3 linked regions of the Tamandua tetradactyla genome follow. The protein of the gene in region 3 purifies or fractionates together with the protein of the main gene of each other region. This does not show direct contact. Links are inferred from orthologs where the notes say so. Each region holds a gene or a part of one and is shown on either strand. Other genes may lie near its edges.

Region 1 (3,744 bases), on a different chromosome or scaffold from region 3:
ACGGATTCCTGACTGCCTGGGGGTGTGACCTGGGGAATGACTGCTTGACTGTAGGGGTTTCCTTTTTTGGGGTGATAAAAACGTTCTAAAATTAGATTGTGGTTACTTCTAAATGTAGTATAAACCACTGAACTGTAAATTTAAAACAGGTATTATTTACGGAATGTGAATTCTCTCTCAATAAAGCTGTTTCTAAAAAGCATCTGATTAAGACCAACTCAAATACAGACTCCCTTTACAATATAGGCATATTCTACCTTCTGAAGCACAACAGTAACTTCCTAAAGGGAGCCCAATGGTCCTGAAAAGTGGGGGAAGTTTTAAAACATGGAAAATTTTCATTGCTCCTTCTTTCCGATATGCTTGCTCCTTAACTGTAATTAAAAAATCTAAACACACCACCAGTACCTAAACGGAGTTCTCTAAAATGACCGTTTACTAGACCAAAGTTATCTACTGCACTCCACTTTGCTTACCAAAACATGATATAAGGGCACTTAAAAATAACATGGTTATTCAAAATCAACAATTAGACGGATTCCCAGACTATGATGCTGATGAAAAAAGTGCAGAAAAAAATCTGAAGGCTACTTCAATTGGGAAGCTGTTAGTTTTATACTATTTTTAGATGTCTTTTCAAAGGTTTTACCTAAAACCTGTTTCAAGACTGATACTTTTCCTTAGCAACCTTAAGCATCACAGATAATCTTAAACGACAGGAGGGTGTTTTTTAAAAACCAAAAAACCGACTTCTTATAAAGATTATTGGAAATTCTTTTTCTCAGTCCTTGCCCAGTCCCCTACCCCAACTCTTGAACTGTACTCAGTGCGAATTATCGATCGATTCCGTTTTCTAAGGACCAAAAATCATCACCACCACCACATCGCTGGGCTTAAAGTATGTGTTTTTTGCTATTATGGGCTTATTTCCTTAGTCAAAATCTTACTCCTACACTAAAAAAAATCTTACCCACCAAAGAAACTAGACTTCTTTTTGGATGTTACTTTACTTCTACAGCCTTACTGTCAAAAAAGAAATCTCTGCACAAAATACAACCTGGAAATTTTATGTTAAAAATTAATAACTCAATTCTCATATACATGTATTTACCACCACTGGCTGTTTTTAACATATTTCCCAAAACTAATACTCCTATTTAAAAACAAATTCTAACTCGTCTGTACCAAAAGTATACAGAAATCATTGCTAAGCCACTCCGCCCCCGCCCCAAAATTCAATAAGGTGGGCCCAGCCGACCTACGTGAAATAGGCGTTTCACATTCCTGCTTGGTAATTCACCCACTGCTCTAGTCGCAAATGATTTTACGCCCAATCTTTAAAAAACGTTTAAGATAAGCGTGAATAAACCCCTTTGGAAAATGAGTACGTACTCTTTTCGAAGTTCCAAATCTGGAATATAAGGGCCGGCTAAGCGTCCTTTATTCCTCCCCGGAGCTTTTCGTTTATCTAGCTGTCCTAGAGACCAGAAAGCTAGGGAGAGTACGCCCCTGCCCCTTCCCCCTCCCAGACCGGCAGCCAAGCCTGGTTTAAAAACCTTCGCCACCGGGCGGCGGAATTACAAAGGAGGCCGGTTGCCTCCTTTGTCCCGGATTTGGGAGTTGAGCGCCTTCGTCGCCATTGGCTTTCCTCCCCCAGCTTCAGCCTCTCTCATCTTGGGAATCTGCGTCAGAAGTCACTCGCAGTCCCGCCAGGCCAGGTAGCCCAGCAGAAACTGCAGAGGAAAGGTGGCCGCGGTGGGAGGTCAGGCCCATCCGGCGCCATTTCCATCGGGAGCGCGCCCGACAGCCCTGATCCTCCCCCGACCCGAATACCCGGCCTTTCCCAGCTCTCTTCACTCCAACCCACATCCATTCCAGGGCGCTTTGACCCCCCCGGCCTTCTAAATCAGTTTTCGAAAGCTGGGGGACCAAAAAAACAGAAATAGCAGGGAAGGGCGGGAAGCTGAGGTGGCCGCGCCACAGTACCCAAAATGGCGGAGGCAAAACCAGCAAGGAAAGAGGAGAAATGCTGGATACCCCCACTTCGGACCTCGGCTTCGTCCACTGAAGTCCACACGAACAAGCCCTTCCCCCCGGCAGGCCGCCCTCCTTGAAGTGGGAGATCGCCCGGGAGGCGCAGCCCGCCTCGGAGTAGCGACCTCCACACTCCCCACCCCCACCCCACCCAACCCCCTCCCAGTCTCTCTCGTCCTTCTCCCGACTCCACTCTCGAACCACCAGCCCAACCTACCCCCTTTTACTTCAGATACCCTGTCAGGAGACGGTAACGCCGACTCTGGTGCTCACTGGGTACGGCCGTGAGGAGGCAGAAGTCGCTCCCCTCGTGTGGCGCCCTCCACAACGGTTCTTCCAACCGTCTCTGGCGGTGGTAACCGCTAAGGGAGCTGCGCAGCAGAGCTACTGGCTTGGGGGATGGGAGAGAGCGAGCGAGAAGGAGGGGGTGGAGCGAGAGCAACGAAAACCGGCTGCCCGGCTCTCGCGAGACAAGAGAGTCGGTAACGCCTTGGCGCGGGCAGCAAAAAAGTGCGCATGCGCACTGACAGACTACCCAGTTGGGAGTAAAATGTACAAAAACTAAGACATTGGTTCAGTTACAAAGACCTGCGGCCGACTTCCCCTTTCTTGCTAAGTGTAAAACCATCAAATTCTCAGAGTCCTCTTCCTGCCCTCTCGAGGAGGATGTGAGGTGGGAGTAGTAGTTCTCCCAGTGTGTTGTGAAGGAACCGTGGTGACGCGGTTTGGACAAGTTCTCTTACTCTGCCGCACTAAGAACAAATTCCCTAAGGGCCTCACTCTTACCCAGCATCACCTGCGTACAAAGATTCCACGTGGTTTGATCGCCAAATGCCGGGAGAGCTTTTCTTGTCCACCATGTTTGCGTTATGCAGTAAAAATAGAACTGTTTTCTACCTGCGATGACACTAAAGTTCCCCGTGAGGCCCGATTTCAGCACCCGGTTTGGCGCTTCTCTGCTCCCCTCGGCCTCGGCGCCGCGTCGGCGCAGCGCCCCCAGTCGGACCGGTTAGCAGCCACCGAAATGCTGCTTGATTGGTTTTGCCACACGTTTCCTTTTTTCCCCTACATATCATTCCGGGTTTTCTCCTCCTACGTGTTGTCTTTTTCCTACTTCAGTGACAGATCAGCCGCTCATGGCGGCCGCATTCCGATTTTCTAAACCGACGTTTGTATTCTTAATTATTGTGCATACAAGTGGCACCTAATAAATGTCTTCTTGCTTGTGCCTTGTTGTGCCCCCAAGGTTCCCAAAGACGCCTTGTGGCCTATTGTAAGTTTCAAAGAAAAATAAAAATCGAATTTCTGTGGCAAAGGTGAAGGGAGATCCTGGTAAGATTCCTGCAAATGAAAGTGCAAGGGTAAGAACACACATCGAGTGAGGAGAGAGGAGATGAATTTGACCACAGTTTTATGGAATATGTTAAGGCTGGAAATGTGGACAAAGCTAGTTTGTACATAATCTTCTGTGTCCTGCCATAAGATGTGAACTTCATGCTACAAACATTGGGAAGCCTGGAAGGAGCAGGGTGGGGTCGGGGCGCAGCGGGAAGGGATATTAGCAGTGGAGAGGCATGAATAATTTTGCCCACCCATGAGATTTGCAGTGTGCAGAATGGAGACAGGAGTCCAGTTACCTTTATATAATGGAAACTTCCATTTCATGGCCTTAATTCATCCTCAGTCCTGTTTAAGACTAAGTACTAGGTA
Region 2 (3,744 bases), on a different chromosome or scaffold from region 3:
CAACACCCACCAGGTCCGTCCGTCTGGTCCCAGGTCTCCCTCTACTACAGCAGAGACCCAAGCCCCAGGAGTCCACCCCATGCTCATGCCTTCATGCTAACCCTTGCAGTCACTAAAGACCCCCTGTAAAGGATAAGCATGGGCTGTGCCGTCCTTTGGGACCTATCTGAGGAGCACCTGATCTCAGGAGGCCCTGGCCTGCTCTGGTAAAATCACTGTACCCGGTGCATCTTTGATGAACAGAGGTTTGTGGGGTGGGAAGATAACACTCCCAAGGATGTAGCAGCTGCGGCAAGCCCATCGCCACCAACCAAGGGTTAGGGAGGGGGTCCAGAATCTTAGCCTGGGGGAAGCTGCCAGCATCCGCAGGCAGTGAGAAGTGTTCAGCACAAAGACAGGGCACCTGAGAGCACAACCATATCAGCCTCCTAAGGCCCGGTGGGCTGGGTTCTGGGCAGCCAGATCTGCAGAAAGAGCTGGACTTTCCTTTGCGGCTGTGGGGCTTTCACCTGCGCCCTTGGAAGCCATGGCCTGGGGGTGACCGCTCTTTTCTTGGGGCCAGCAGTCCTCTGCCCCCCCTGGAAATGGGCCTCCCTCCACCTTTCAGCCAGTACTTTTTCTGTACTCTCTGAGAACAGCAGCCCCACAACCCACCAACTCTAGCTGTTTGGTCTAAAGCTGACCAGCAGAACTACCTCTCCATGTTCCAACCTGTCCCTTCACGGACAGAACCTGTTGACAGGACCCACAGGGAATGTGTCTGGCTGGGAGCAAGAGAGCAGAGCACCCTGGAGAGGCCACCGTGGACAGCACTGGTGGAGGCTGGCCATAGACTTGATCTGATAAGTCTGTGCCATGCAGGGCCGAGACTGTGAGCACGACAGGGTAGGATGCATCTCCTGAGGAACAGGCTTAGAATATCTGGAGGAGCCTGATGTCTGCCCCAGCTGGCTAAGAGTGTTTCCAGCTAGTTCAGAAGAACGAGGACCAGATAGAAGGAGAGGCTAGGATAAAGGAAGAGAGAGATGTGGAATCATTTCCCTTAGTTGGGAAAGCTCGAGGCTGAGGATGAACGAATGACTATGACATGGAGATAGCTTGAGGAAAAGTACACTGCCCCTTGCAGGACTTGTGCCTCCATAGAGGAGAGGAAGGTGGGCAAAACCTAACAAGAATGCTGCAGTGAGGGCAGTGAACGCCCTTCAGGCTGGGCAGGGCTTTAGCAACAGGCGCCCCAGAAGGTGGAGAGCCTCCGCCTGGGTACGCGTCACTGTCAAGGGCTCACAGGCCTGGCCTCTTTAGAGGGAAGCGCTCAGCAGGGTTAAACTCTGCCCTTTTCGCTCCCAGATCAAGCGTGCCCAGACGCGCTCAGCCCTATTCCCTTCCAGACAGGGCAGCCTTCAGGCCACTAGTCATTTGCCAGCCCAGGCAAGGGCGTTTGCCAAACACGATGGACAGTAGACCCGGATTTCCAACTCCAGACACAATCACGGACTTCCCTCTGCAAACCGGAGCTGCCCAGTCTTGCAGGGCCTAACGGTGTAAACAAAACTGCTACCAGGCAACTGAAGACAGGGACTCAAGCAGAGACGGCCCATAAAGAATGAAAACAAAACCACTTTTGGGAAACCCGTAGGAGAGAAACTTGTGCATCCTGACGCTGTACTTTCTGTTCTCATTCCCCTTTCTCTCCCAATACAGCAGTGCCCTGCGACCACGGGCAGAGTCCTGTTATTCTCTGCCGAACTGCTGATCATACCACCCTAGGAAACACTTTGGCGTGATGTTTTTAGTGAAACAAATGCTTGTTCTAAGGACAGCTATGCTTCTGCAACGTCTAACACTTAGCAAAAGACCAAAGCAGGAGGCCCATTCTCCCCCTCCTAACAAAACTTCAGCTGAGCAGGAGCTGAGCAAGGAGGAGGGTGAGGAATGCGGTAGGCTTGAACCTGCTACAGTGACAGCAGCCTCCGAACCAATTCGTGTGTGTGTGAAGACTACAAGCATTTCTTCCTGGGGCTCAAAACACCCTTCAAAGGGGACTGAGTTTCAGAGCCGCTTTTCCTCTCAAGGGTTCTGGGTCTGGGACCACTGAAAAATCCCCCTTCGTGGCCCCGCGGCGGTTGTTGGGCGGTACCTCAAGCTTGGTGGGTTAGCAGGTGGGAACACGGCCCCCGCCTTTCTCGAGTTCCACGGGTGGAAGCTCCCTCACCGGAGACTGGCGGGCCGCCTGCCCCCATTTCCAGGGAGGCCCCCGCGCCCCGCGCCCCGGCAGGCCGGCCTCCAGCGCGCACGCGTGCCCGCGCCCAGCCCCTCACCGGGCTCCAGCAGATGAGCGCATCGGTGTCCGGGTCGCTCACGAGAGTCCACAGCTTGGTGAGGAAGGCCGGGACGTTGCTGGGCCCCGCCGCTCCGGGGCCCACGGGCAGATCCATGTTGGGCCACGCGAGGAGAGGCCAGGAGGCCGACCGCGAGCAGGGGCCGAGGACCGCGCTAGAGCCGCCGCCGCGCCTGCCGCCTGGGCCGCGCCGCCGCCACCCGCTGCGCACACACGGCCCCGGGGCCTGGCATGGCCGCCGCCATCTTGCGACGGGCGCGCTCCAGACGGCACCGCCCACGACCCAGCGGCGCGCGCGCGCGCGCGCGCAGACGGCACCGCCCCGCCGCCGCCCGCCAATCGGAGTGGGGCGGAACCGATCGTGCCCTCTGACCCGGTCCCGCCCCGCGTGCGTTGGGCCTCTTCGCTGCCGGAAGAGGACGTTAGCCGAGCCAAGCGGGCGCGCTGCGAAGCATGCCGGGGACGCGGGGTTCGCGGTCCGGAAAGCGGCCCGCGGGGCCGGAGCAGGAACCGGAGGAGGTGGGCACGGGGCACCGGCGTGGCGTGTGTGATGGTAGCGCGGTGGGGGTGCAGCCGAACCCGGGGCGGCGCGCACGTGGGGACTGGGGCCGGAGCGCACGTGCTGCGCACGGGGCTCGGCACTGGCGCCACCTCCCTGCCTTGGTCCTACCGGGGGGTTGCTGGCGCTGTACCCCCGGCCTATGTTATCCACGCGGTCAGCGGCGAACAAGAGACGACTTGGCAGGCCCTAGCGCCCTCCCAGCGCGCGGACACTGGGAACCTGCGCGCTGTTGTTGGACCCGGGTGGCTGGGCCTTCTTGGAGCCGCAGCGTCGGGAGTCGCGGGCGGAGCACAGCCGTGCAAAGGGGTGGTCCCGCGTCGGGTGCAGTTACGTGGGCTTGAGGAACAGTATCTGAGGAGGGAAATGGGAGGGAGGGGGGTCCTGTACCAGTTGTGTCCTTAGTACTTTTTTTTGTGTTGTGTTATTTCATTAACATATTGCTTGGCTTCTCATAAAAAGTAAAAGCTTAAGAGAACGAAATAGGCAAATACAACCCACCTCAGCAGCGGCAGGGCCACTGCCCCTCAGCTCTGGCTTGTCCGAGGCTTACCTGCATCCAGGGCTTGCATGGTTGAGCTCTCCCAGTCGGCTCCACTCAGCTGCACTGCTTGGAGGTGTGGGCACTGTGACCCCCAGCCAGCCAGCAGCCTTTTGGGTCTGAGCATGGTGTTCCCTCCAGTTTGGCGGATGCCTCAGTAGTTCGTTGTGTTTGCTCCCAAGCCCTTTTAGGCTATGTTTCTTGCCGTCACCTGATGTAACTAACTAAATATTAGAGATAAATCCTGTGAGAGAGTCATGTCTGTGGATGAAAACAGGCTGTCCAGATAGGTGACATAGTTGTAAA
Region 3 (3,744 bases):
CAAGTTTTTCCAAACTTACCCGATGTCCACTCTATCGATTATAAACAAAATTATTTTATAAATATACTTTAGGGTCGAAATAACCAGGTAGGACCCCACCCCCTTTGCTTGAGACCTTAATGCTCATCAAAGTCATTATCAACCACGATTGCAGACAAATTAAAAAAAAGTAAAGTTCAAACATATAGCTACCCAGGCCTTAAACAGTTTTATTCATAGCAATACACGCATTAAGGACCGAGTCACGTTTTAACCAGTGTTCAACACTAAAAAACAAAAACATTTTTATTACTTTGGTCTTAATTATTGGCTTATCACGTGTGAAGCTCCATGTTTTTGCCAACAAAAATTAAACCATCCCAGTATAAGCGTTTATTTAAAATATTAATTCTATAATTTAAAAGAATCCTTCAGGATAAGATTTTGCTATTGATATTCTCCCCCATCCCAAAGTAATATCCTTCCCCTGCCACCCTCGCTGTAGTTCGTAATCTGCGTCCTCCAAATTTTGCTTTTGTACTTCTAAAGTTTCCTGCGACCTCACCGCACTTTTAATCGCTTCAGATCCAGATAAAACCGTTATTCAAAGAAACACGGGCTCGAAAACTTGAAATGGTTTCTTTGTAATATGGCTCGCCTTAAACCCGGTCCAAGGCGCTTCACCTTCTGTTAAACCGTATGAAGCAAGCCCGGCGAGCGCCACCCCCCACCCCCACTCCAGCCGTGTGGTTTCGGAACGTAATGGCGCCATTTCATCGAAGGGAAGGAAGAGAGCCTTTAACGAGGTGCGCAAGGACTTTAAAGATCCAAGCTCACAGAACACTCGGAATCCACCTCGAAACAATACGAAAATAGCCCGGGAGAAAAAACAAACAGTTAACTATTCCCATTATTCGATAGAGGATTCAAACTAGCAGAACTAACAGAGTTAAAAGAAAACCGTTGCGAGATAGGAGAGAGATGAAAATGGCGGACGCCAAATCCGGTTCCCCGGAGAGGGGGAGGGGAAGCTCCGCAGGCTCACTCACGAGGGCCCCAAGGCCGCCGAAAAGCTCAAACGCGGAAACGCTAGAACCCCCAAATGAGCGTGTTTTTAAAAAAGATAATTCCCGCCTCCGCGCCTCACTTTCCACCGAAAAAGGACTGCGTTTCCCATGTAAAAATTCTCCATCCCCCACCCCCGGTAAAAGGAAATGGCGCCGGGAGGCTAAGGGTGGGGAAGACGTTGTACCACTAGGCCTCCGCCAACGAATCCCCTCAAACATATCTCCAGATCAACCCCTTCGGAAACGGCCAATTTTCACTAGCGCTCTTCCACGGAGGCGCGTGGCCGACTTCCAGTGAGGCGCCAACGGCCTCGCCATGCCCTTTCCAATAACTCATTGATTTCAAACCCGTTACCTCCATCGCGGACTCAGTCGCTTCAGCCCGATTTCCCGCAGCCGAGCGAGATGAGAAAGATCTCCGCGGACGAACACGAACCGGACTCGTCCTGGCGCTGTTGTGAGAACTGCCGCTGCTCAGGAAACAACGCCGCTAGGAACACCTCCGCACCGGCCCGAGCGCTGCTGCTACTGCCGCTAGAGCTGCTGCCGCCGCTTTTCTAGAACCTTCCCTCCGACTAACGCGTCTTCCCTTACGTCAGGCCGTTGCGTAAACGCCCTAACCGCCGCCAATGGCGGGAACGGTCCACGCAGGCCTTACGCTAAATGCGTATCCCTCCCCCCGTTTGCAGGAGTGGCTGTGCTTGACGTCATTTGCGTAAATGGGGACAGTGAGTTGCGGAACGCTCGAGTCCTACGTATCCCTTTCTCAGAATTGGGTCCCGCCCCCGCCTTAGCGCAGGGCAGGTGAGAAACGGTCGCGCAGTTTGAAATTAACGCTGTCGGGAGGAGCTTAATCCGCTGCCCTAAAGGGGTTCCCGCAGCAAGTTCTTTCATGAACCCGCCTCCCGGGGTTCTCCCGCCATAAATATGTTGGTTGTCTGCCCCTTTCGTTCTCCCTTTTCCACCCGAGAACTAACTCGGCTCCTTCCGGAAACACCCGAAGCGACTTCAAATCAAATTACTATTCACCCTCCACCGAGCTAACCCTGCCCGACGTCCTTGAAGCCGACTCCTGGGGTCTCGTAAAGGTCTTCCGACAGGGTGGTCAAAGATGGGCACTGTTTCTCACTTCCCCATTCCCCCTCCTCCCAACTTGTTCTCCACCCCCATCCCAGCGTCTAGATGTGACCACCCCCGGGGGCGAGGAAGTGGGCGGAGCCCGGCTTTGGCGCCAGCCGCAGCCGCCGCAGCGAAGCAGAAAAGCATTCACCGAGAAGACTCCGGCCACCGCCTTCGCCCCTCCTCCCCTCTCCCTCCGCCAAGCCGCGAACGGTGAGTGCCGCTGTCGCCGCCGCTTACCCCTCCCTTCCCCACCGCCGGCCCCCGGCTCCTGGCGGGCGCGGCGCTGATCCCCTCCCCCGGCGCGCGCGCACGTACGCACGCCCGCTCCCACCCCGCCCCTCGCGGCCGCCTAGCGTGGGCGGTGCCGCTCCCCCCCATCCCCCGGCGGCCCCGCGCGCAGCTCTCCAGCCCCCTCCCCCTCGGATGTGGCTCGAGCTGGAGGCGCGCAGGGCTGGAGACGCTGCAGACCCGGGACCTGGAGCAGCTCGGAGGCGGTGAAGTCGGTGTCTTTATTTCTCTGTAGTTATGACTCGGTGGTGGTCCTTAAGATAGCACAATGCACCCCGAGCACCCTTCAGTCGCCTGCTCCCGCCGGACCCTTAGTCCGGGTCTAGTGCGAAGGAGTTGGGCGAGCGGAGGTTCCTCGGCGGGCCAGGCGTAGGGCCTGTGCCTGTAGTTAGTCGAGGGTACGAGACTGTCCTCCAGAGGGTGGAGAAACGTGGCGGCAGCCGCCGTATTTCTAGACAAAGCGCATTTCCTTTTCCCCTCCCCCAGCCCTGCTCCAGATGAGCAAGCAGCCCGCCACGCCAAGCCTGGTCGCAGCCTGGGCCTCCTGGGAAAGCGGCGCAGTTTCCACCCTCCGCGAGGCCTGGCAGCGCGCGCGGCCTGCTGGCCGGAGGCTGCGGCGGGCGCTCCTTTCGTGGCCACCGCGGCGGGAGGGGGGAGAGGGTGGCGCGGCCGGGTGGTGCAGTGCCCTTGAGCCCCAGCGCCGCGGCCTTTGTTTCTCCCCGCGGATGTGCTGACCACGAGGCCCGCGCTCTCGGGTGGGGGGGGCGGGGGTGCCCCAGGCTGCATTACTCTGGAATTAAGCCGGGAGACACCTGGGGCCAAGGGGGATCCGATGAATTTAGGAAAGCAATTTGTTTTTAAAAGTGACAGTAAATGGGAATGAACCTTCTCGGTGTGTTTTCTCTTTAGTTTTTAAACGAGTAATTGGAATAAGGGAGGGTTTTTCAAGAGAAATCAAGTTGGGATTCGATCAGAGGTTCTTTTGGACTGACAAGGTCTTGGGGAAAAATTCCACGTACTTTACCTATGTGGTTTTTTAGGTAATTGTGTTTGATTTTGAACAAGCGTTTGTCCTTTTTAAAAAGCTATGTATAGAACTGGTACATACGGGATTTAGATCAGAAATAAAATTAGTCCACCGTTTTTTTTTGGCCCGGGGAAAGCTCTATCTCAAGTACGAATATCCCCATTAAGGTCTTCTGAATCCACTTGGTTAGAATACTGATGTACTTTCAGACGTGTAATACTGATAATTTACATAAGCGCTCAGGTCTGCTTCTCTATGAAT

The links.
Region 1: the proteins of HNRNPA2B1 (region 3) and HNRNPH3 fractionate together in Homo sapiens (co-fractionation; 3 studies listed by BioGRID and IntAct, with this or other methods). This does not show direct contact. The link is inferred for Tamandua tetradactyla from reciprocal best matches to the Homo sapiens genes HNRNPA2B1 and HNRNPH3.
Region 2: the proteins of HNRNPA2B1 (region 3) and HSF1 purify together in Homo sapiens (affinity purification with mass spectrometry; 3 studies listed by BioGRID, with this or other methods). This does not show direct contact. The link is inferred for Tamandua tetradactyla from reciprocal best matches to the Homo sapiens genes HNRNPA2B1 and HSF1.

Annotation. Positions count from the first base shown.
Region 1 is NC_135339.1:29,013,139-29,016,882, forward strand, and holds the start of HNRNPH3 (heterogeneous nuclear ribonucleoprotein H3), read right to left. Parts: upstream 2,484-3,744; 5' UTR 2,252-2,483; intron 2,136-2,251; exon of another isoform or gene 1,393-2,135; intron 1-1,392.
Region 2 is NC_135332.1:82,256,634-82,260,377, forward strand, and holds the start of HSF1 (heat shock factor protein 1), read right to left. Parts: upstream 2,486-3,744; 5' UTR 2,436-2,485; coding exon 2,319-2,435; intron 2,262-2,318; exon of another isoform or gene 2,138-2,261; intron 1-2,137. Other genes in the region: ribosome biogenesis protein BOP1, read left to right, coding at 2,792-2,857. UniProt on the Homo sapiens protein: Functions as a stress-inducible and DNA-binding transcription factor that plays a central role in the transcriptional activation of the heat shock response (HSR), leading to the expression of a large class of molecular chaperones, heat shock proteins (HSPs), that protect cells from cellular insult damage.
Region 3 is NC_135327.1:97,110,918-97,114,661, reverse strand, and holds the start of HNRNPA2B1 (heterogeneous nuclear ribonucleoproteins A2/B1), read right to left. Parts: upstream 2,188-3,744; 5' UTR 1,408-2,187; coding exon 1,402-1,407; intron 1-1,401. UniProt on the Homo sapiens protein: Heterogeneous nuclear ribonucleoprotein (hnRNP) that associates with nascent pre-mRNAs, packaging them into hnRNP particles.